Drosophila melanogaster: one gene and its partner. The protein of the gene in region 2 interacts with the protein of the main gene of each other region in a pairwise test. Each region holds a gene or a part of one and is shown on either strand. Other genes may lie near its edges. The genes, in order: CG11349 and CG4701.

Evidence for each region.
Region 1: the proteins of CG4701 (region 2) and CG11349 interact in a two-hybrid assay, tested with the Drosophila melanogaster proteins (one large-scale study listed by BioGRID).

Annotation. Positions count from the first base shown.
Region 1 is NT_037436.4:4,470,886-4,475,610, forward strand, and holds CG11349 (uncharacterized protein), read left to right. Parts: upstream 1-2,182; 5' UTR 2,183-2,191; coding exon 2,192-2,194; intron 2,195-2,252; coding exon 2,253-4,139; 3' UTR 4,140-4,210; downstream 4,211-4,725. Other genes in the region: CG32248 (uncharacterized protein), read left to right, coding at 880-882, 954-1,499.
Region 2 is NT_033779.5:14,764,100-14,767,955, reverse strand, and holds CG4701 (uncharacterized protein), read right to left. Parts: upstream 2,049-3,856; 5' UTR 1,950-2,048; coding exon 795-1,949; 3' UTR 731-794; downstream 1-730.

The DNA of each region.
Region 1 (4,725 bases), on a different chromosome or scaffold from region 2:
CTAATTCACCATCTTGGCAAAGAAATGCAAAAATACATTTAATAGGTTTATTTGTGTGTCTGACTTGATACGATTAGCATATTCTCGAATTAGCGCAAAAGAGACAATAAAGAAAGCTCAGAAAGATAAACAATAACATTGTTTAGACTCGAGACCATTGGAGGGCGTCAATACAGATCAGATAACGTGATTATGCAAAAAAGGGCACCATATGCCATTAACCCCAAGAGGAAATGTTTAAGATACCTAATACCTTGGGAGTCGCGATCTTGAGGCTTCTCTGAACAATTAATCAATCAGTCCATCAATCGAGTTAGCGGAACATTAAGTCATTAGCCTGAGCAATTTGTTTGCTTTAAGTGGATAAGGTATACGGCTGACTAGATAGTTTATGACCGGCTAATTGCTATACTTCTTGTTCTGGATCGATTTAAAAATAGCTCTCTGCTACTGTTTCTATTAACCCAATATCGGGTTTAGTCTTAGCAAAAGCTTGGGTGAATTAAAAAAGCTCTTCTTCAAGACGAAACCAAACTATCAGGTTTGCGATAAAATTGTTTTGGCAAAAAAATTAAGCTGTGATACGTGTATTCTTATGAATATTTATATTTAATATGACAGCAAAAAAATGAGAGTTTTAAATCCAAACTCCATGGCGTACCTAACTGATAAAAACAAGCCCCATATGGCGTCGTGGTCGAGGTATCTGTTTGCCCAATTAAACAAATTTTTCGACGCGAAGAAAAACGTTTCGTTGATTTATGATACTCAGCACTTCCGTTTGGATCCGCAGATTCTCCGACTTGTATAAAAGTACAGGAGTCGCCGGTCTAAGATATTATTCGGTTCGTTGCTCCTAAAGCAAACAGATCATCTAAAATGGTAAGGATCTCCCATCTGTATTGCGGATTATATTAGTTGGCATATTATTCTATTTCGATTTTTCCCTGTAGAAATTCTTTATCTTGACCTTGGCCGTGGTTGGCTGTGTGGCCGCCGAATCTGGCTACAACTACAATGCTCCCCGCCAGGTAGCCGCCTCTGCCCCGGCTCCTGTTTTCCAGCAAGCTGCCTCTGCTCCGGCTCCAGTGAGGACCTACGTGCCCCCAGCTCCAGCTGCCTCTGCCCCAGTGCAGTCGTTTGCCCCTGCCCCAGCTCCAGTAGCTGCTCCTGCTCCCGTTTTCCAGCAGGCCGCCTCTGCACCCGCACCAGCCCGCACATACGTGCCTCCCGCTCCCCATGTCCACCACCATGCCGCCGCCTCAGCTCCAGCTCCCGTTCAGTCCTTTGCTCCTGCTCCAGCTCCCGCCCCCGCCCCCGTGCAGTCCTTCGCCTCTGCTCCAGCTCCTGCTTTCGAGTCCTCCGGACCGGTGTTCGAGGCCGCAGCTTCCGCCCCCTCTGCCGCCCGCTCCGGATACGATTATAGCCAGCCCGCCGCCAGCCAGCAGGGATACAAGTACAAGACCGTCCGTCGCCGTGTGTTCAAGCACCGCGCTTAAACGATGATGATGATACGATAAAATGCGACAATAAAAAACTCGAATATTAAATTTATAAAAACATAGTTTTATTTGAGCATTAAAACACTAATAAAGATAATATGATAATTTGATAATTAAACAAGAATGATATGGTGTATAGTTTTAGCAAAAGAAGCGCGCAAAAAAAAAAACTATAAAACCTAAAACAACATTTCAAAAGTGCTAAAATTCTTGCTAGAAAAGAAAAAAAAAATCGCAAAATTAAATTTTATTAATAATTGTTAGTTAGTACTGGAGTGCAGTTTTTCTTATCCATAACTAACAATCAGTTGTTAATGATAAATTAGTTTGAAGCTTCAATTGTATTACTAGGCCAAATTCACACCTGGAAACGAAGTTCAAAGAACCCATGCGTTATCGCATAAGTGTGCAGCGCACTTGGGCCAATAAATTTAAACGCTTTGATCTGACAAATTTACGGGACACTTTCGTTGTGCTTCAGAATATTCAATAGAATTTAAATTGGCGGCTATTCAATAAGAACAAATGGGTCACATAAAGCGCGGAATCGATTTCTCACGCTCGGCAACAGGTTTCGCTTTCAACTGTGGTCTTTTTTGGGGGCTCGATGTGGGGATGCAACAAAAAAGATCCCGAAGAGAGTATATAAGTTGCATCTACAGCTGCTTACAGTCACTGGCACTTTAGCAATGGTAACGGATCAACGATAGGTTCTAGGTTCCGCATTTCACCAATCCATTTTTATTTTAGAATGTCCTCGTGATCCTGGTTCTATGCCTTATGGCAATCGCATGTCTGGCGGACGTTTCCCATGTGAAACACCACAAGCACCAGCGGCATCATCACTCCAGGGATCACGAAGATGACGATGAGGAGTCCCATTACCTACCTCCCCACGAGGAAAAGGAGGTGGAGCAACCTTTTTACAAGAAGGAGAAGCACACCAGTGAAAAGGTGGTTTACCACAAGGTAGAGGAGCACGAGGAGCCCAAATACTACAAGGAGCATCAACATGAAGAGCCCAAAAAGCAGCGAGTGGATCACTACCATCACTATGACAAGAAGCCAGAAGTAAAGACCCAGCACATTCACTACAAGCATAGCAAGCCCCATGTCCGTACGGATTACAATCAGGACTTGTTCACCCCAGCTGCTACCCAAGTGGTTTATCGCCGCCGTCGTCCTAGTCGAATTCTATACGCCAGTGCCCCCAACTCGGTGTTCCACACCCACACGCAGATCAACGTGCAGTCCCAGGATTCGGAATTGAATTCCCTTACTCGCCCAGATCGTGCAGCAGGAGCACAGGATCCTGCTGGGGCTCAAGCACCGACTGGAGCCCAGGCACCAGGATTTCGACCCAACTGCCAGTTTGTTGGACCTGGAAACGTACCACCTGGCTGTGGACCCTCTGATCCCATAGGTGCTCAGCTACCAGCCAGTGCTTTGGCTCCCACTGGTGCTAATCTTCCGGCCAATCAACCTGTTGCCGGCGGACAATTGGCTGTTCTGGGTAACGGTCAGCGACCTCCACGTCCAGGTGGCTATGGAGGTGGATATGGCAACCGACTCAACTTTTTTGTTGATCCTTCGCTGGGCGCTCAGCTGGGAGCCATAGGTAATGCTGGAGCTGGAAATCAACAGGCTGCCGGAGGAGGTCAGCTTGCGGGAGGAGCTCAACTTGGAGGGAGCCAAGGATTCGACCCTTCCTTTGGTGCCCAAGCAGCTGCCGGAGGACCATTTAACACTGGTTTTGGAGCTGGTCAAAGACCTCAAAGACCTGCGCAAAACCAATATGATCCCAACCTTCAGCTAGGTGGCCCTTTTGACCCCTCCGTGGGTGCTCAATTGGGCGCAGGTCAGGGTGTTTCTAACCAAAGACCAAGTGGACAGGGAGCATTTGATCCTTCTACAGGTGCTCAATTGGGCGCAGGTGAGGGTGTTTCTAACCAAAGACCAAGTGGACAGGGAGCATTTGATCCTTCTACGGGTGCTCAATTGGGTGCAGGTCAGGGCTTTAACCAGAGACCAAGTGCACAGGGAGCATTTGATCCTTCGACAGGTGCCCAACTTGGAGCTGGACAAGGCGTGCCTAACCAGCGACCCAATGCAGCTGGACCAGGAGCTTTTGATCCCAATCAGCGACAGTCCGACCCCTCCATTGGAGCCCAATTGGCAGCGGGACAAGTACCACGCCTCAACAACCGACGACAGCGCAATCGATCCAACTACCAGGGTCTCAATGTGCTGAATGGAAACGTTTTCGGACAACCCCATCTCCAGGGACCCACAAATGCGCTGGGAAATCAACAGGACACCAACATCATAGACGGCAACTTCTACAGCGATCCTCATCATGGACACCAGCGGGCTTTGGTATCGGTTAATCCTAATCAGCGTTCAGTCCTTATACCCGATGACGATGATGCGGACGATGATGGGCAGCTAGGATTTCTGGGCTTTGCGGCTAGTAACAAGCAGTCCTCTTATGTGGTTGCTCCCAAACAACTGCGATCTCATAGGCGCAGTTCAAAGCGAAACAATGTGGATCTTAAAACATCTGCTTCGGAGTACGACACTGACTATCGTGAGGATGGCTATCACTACCAGAAGCCCAAACAGTCATTCGAGTTTTAAGTATTTTAAAACAGAACATATTATAACATAAATTAAATCATACTTATCAGCATTTGCTACAAGAGCATACCAAACAAACCTTGATTACTTATTTAAAGCATACTTTCAGGCGAAAACTATGGCGGCTACTTCCGTTTCCGCTCAAGGTAGCTTTAAAGTTTGTTGAGAAATCGACACGGGTTTTCAAGCTGAGCTTTATAAATTGAGCTTTTGATTAAGCTTTACACCAGACTACAAATATCTATATTGCACATAAAAATATCCAGATATTTACCAACTATGTATATTTGATTTTTTTGTTTGCCTTTAAATTACATACATTAACATAAATATACACGTGCAAATAGATTAGGGCATTTATGTTCTGGCCATATCTGCGATTGCCTTTGATGGAAAAGGTGTATATATTGTCCATTAGGGTACGCGGAAAGGAAACTAGTTCAGAGCTATATAGAAATAGAGGCACAAAGACATTTTTTTTATAGTGAGAGAGGCAAAATGAATTGTCGACATAAATTTATGCAATCATTTAGATTCGATTCTCATGCAAATCCAATCAACTGAAATCAAAATAGAAATAAAACAA
Region 2 (3,856 bases):
AGTGACTGGCTAATAAAATGTTAAATATAAGTAAACACTCCTATTTCGTTTTCAAAGAACATTTTCCATATACCGACTTTATTAATTAAGTTCTTTACTACTGAATTGCATATGCATGATAAAATTAAAAACACTCTTCGCAAGAGTAATTCAGAAGCAAACGAGGCGGAGGCTGAGGTCCGTAGTTAGGCTTCTGCCGCTTCTGTGAATCAACTTATGAATATTCAATTTTACATAAAAGATTTTTTGTTGTTGCTGTCGTAGCTGTTGTTATTTTGAGTTTTTGTTGTGCCACTGTGCTGGTGCTGTTCTTTCGCAGCCGTTCCTGGTTGCAGACCTTTTTTCAGATAACTCGCCGCTCTTCATGGCTGCAAAAACTCTTCATGCATGCCATGAAATGTGAAAAATATAGGTCGGGCTGACAGTTTGGGGTGTTGGTAACTGGGCAGGATGAGCCAAAGTGAGGTATAAAGAGCGTAGTCTCGTAAAATAGAACTAGCCGGAAGATAATGGCGAAGCACTGAGAAAAAATGAGCTTGGCTGTGCAATGGAATTTGTTATTGAACATACCAATTCGCTGAGAGAGACCAGCGGTAAGTGAAAGTGGGAGGAAGACAAGGACACTTTTTTAAAGGAGGCTTGATGCTTTAGAGTTTAAAATATTAATTAATATAAAATTTGGCTTATACAAAGAAATCTTCCAAATAAGACAAGAGAAAACTGCAAAATTGATGAAGCACATAACGAAGCTTTTATTGCCGATTTTATGCTCATCAATACCCAAAACGGCACCCTCAGTCCAACTCCAGATCCTTTTCGAGAAAAGTGCCCTGCGCCTGATGTTTCGACGCCTTCATGACGGACAGCGACTTGAGAAGGTCTTCCATTTGAATTTCCAAGTGCTCCCACTCCTGCAAGGCCTGATCCTTTACCTCGAAGTCCCATTCAATCTTGTCTTTTCCAATTTCCTCGCCGGTGTTCAGCTTTTCGCGCATAAACTGGCGCATACGGTACATGGATGCGTGGCGACACAATTCCCGCAAATCGGATCCTGAAAATCCAATCGTCAGTCGGGCCAGCTCCTTCAGATTAACCGAAGGACTCAGTTGCTCTGTCTGGAGGATCAACTGAAGGATTTCGCGTCGCTGGCAGTCTCGCGGCACTCCAATGTGAAATTGTGCGGGCATACGGCGCAGGATGGCTTTATCGAGGTCTTGCGGCCGGTTTGTGGCCCCCAAAACGAGGACACAAATGTTGGTATTGCTCATTAACCCATCCCACTGCAACATAAACTGAGTCTTAATCATGGCGGTTGCCTCGTGATCATTGCTACCGCGCATCCTGAGAAAAGATTCAATTTCGTCTATGAAGATGATGCAGGGCTGAAGTTTTTTGGCCAGCGTGAAAACGGCTGTGGCCAGCTTCTGGCTTTCGCCGTACCACTTGTCCGTTAGCACACCCACGTCCAGATTGATGAATCGCATCCCAGCATCCTTGGCAATGGCCTTGGCGATCAGGGTCTTGCCACAACCAGGCGGTCCATGCAGCAGGACTCCCTTGGGCGCTCGCCACAGTTTCGATCGGCTAAAGAGCTTACGATGACGCACTGGGAGAACCACCGTCTCCCTAAGCTCCTGAATAGTCCCATCCAGTCCGGCAATATCCGACCAACTGATATCAATGTCCTCAGGCGTCACCAGATGCGAAGCAATCATCATCTCGTGCTCATTAAAGTCACGGGCTCGAAACTTCTTTGCCGCGCCAATCGCCGAGGAGTTCAGCTTGCGCAGCTGCTCTTCCGCAACATATTTCGCCTTACCCCGGATCTTATTATTGGGATCCAGCGCATTGATCATCCATTTGGCAGTGTAGTACGTTAACGCGCTAAACACACACACCCGAATGACGATGGCCAGGATCTGGCACTGAGTACCCTCCTGCGAGTCCATTTTTCACACACCAATTTGTATCGACAATCTAGTATCGAATAATAAATAAATGTCACTTAAAAATTACACATCGGTATATTACTAACTGCCTACTGCTATGCGATGCACAACACTGATTTACTAGAAATATAATATAGGATTGTCAAGTGTTGTAGAAAAATATTCTTAAAAAAGTTTTCTTAGTTCCCAGAGACAAAAAAAAAATAAAAACAAAAGTTGCTTTTTAAAGATTTGTTAAGATTAACGTGGAAATATGAATAGTAGTTCTGCTAAATTACATTAAACCAAAGTTACTTACTGCATACAATAAGGAGTAATAAGCCATTTTTACCCACTGTGCATTGTCCAGATTCGTTTTAATTTCTGTTTAAGTTTTCCGGGCTCTGTTCTGGCCTCTGTTCCTCCTGCAGGATTTTGACGCTAACCTGCAAGAAATGCCGGCAAATAAAACTGAAAAAGCCTGAATGGAAGGCGGAGGAGAATGTTTTCTAGTTTAGTATCTCTCAACAAAGTATTTGTCTCAGTAACAAAAGATAAACTTGTCGAGCCAGCTGCTGTTCCTTGTTCCTTGTATCTAGCTGCGAGAATCCATCGCTGTTCGGTATCCTGCTGAATTGGAAGCAGCAGCCAAGGACGAAAGGCCAGGCCATAAGACGGTCAGAAGTATTAACTAAACACTGCAGCAATTTATCTGCGAACCCCTTTACCACCCAATTTTCCCAGCCCACCGAACGCAGGTCAGTTCTGTGCTTTGTCTTGAAGTTATTTCCGCTGCCCTTTCCCTCTTCACGGAAATCGCTGTGCACTGTGTTGTTTTGGGCTTCCTTCCGCATTACAAAAGAATTACTCAACACAATGTCTGGACGAAGTTTCCACTACTACGAACAGAGCCCTATTATCCACCGTTTTTGCCCAATAGTTTTCATATTCCTGGCTCAGGTGTCTCTGTCTGCCATCCAAAAATTGGTATTTCGCAAAAGTCTTGTTAGCATTTTAATCCAACATTTTCACGTCTGTTTGTACCGATCAAAAATTAAATCCAATCTAAGCCAGAAAATGTTGTAAGTTAACGGAAACCAAAGAGGATCCCACGAGCGCTTACTCCATGTAAAACTTAACCTTTCCATAATCCATTTGACTTTAGTTAGATTGATAAATAAAATGAATTGAATTGAATGAATTAAGGCACGTTTAAAAATTTCTCTAAACAAATCCAATTAAATTACTATTTGAAAGAGTACCTTACGGAGTAAGATCTATCTTAAATAGAAAATTGGCTTATTTGTGTGGAGCCCTAACTGAACTGATCTGCTCTTGACCTTTGCCCACTTAACAGAGTTTTCCAGACTTGGGCGCAGCTTTCGATGAAAATCGCCTTTATCCCGAAATGGAAAATGGCGAAGGGAGCCCTTACTGAGCATTATATCATACCGCCTCCGTTGGGCGCCATTATGGATGCAATTTCAGTGCGCACTTTGTGCAACATCTTTAAGCTCGTTAGCGTGCCGGGAACCTTTATGTTGAACAAACAGCCCAAGTTCTTCCACTGTCTATTCGCCTTTCACTGAGCTACTTTTGAAGAGTTCATAAAAATCACTTCAGCTATGCAATATTTCATGATTTCACCAACTCCTGCTCGCTCACTACCTTTCGCTGGATACCACCCACTATATTCGTAGTCCTTTCCCCTTATTTTGTCCTCTTTGTCAGATTCCAAGTCCGCTCGTTCGTTCTGCTGAGCACACGAAAAATTTAATTATATATTTTGTTGTTATTACTGTGCCTATATTGTTGCAAAAGCTGGAGCTTTCACTTGGAAAGTTGTGGAGCATTCGTCAAAATGTGACAAGACGACATAAAAAAACATCCTTTAAGTTAGATGTTTTTAATGCAAGCTTAAAGTAGCT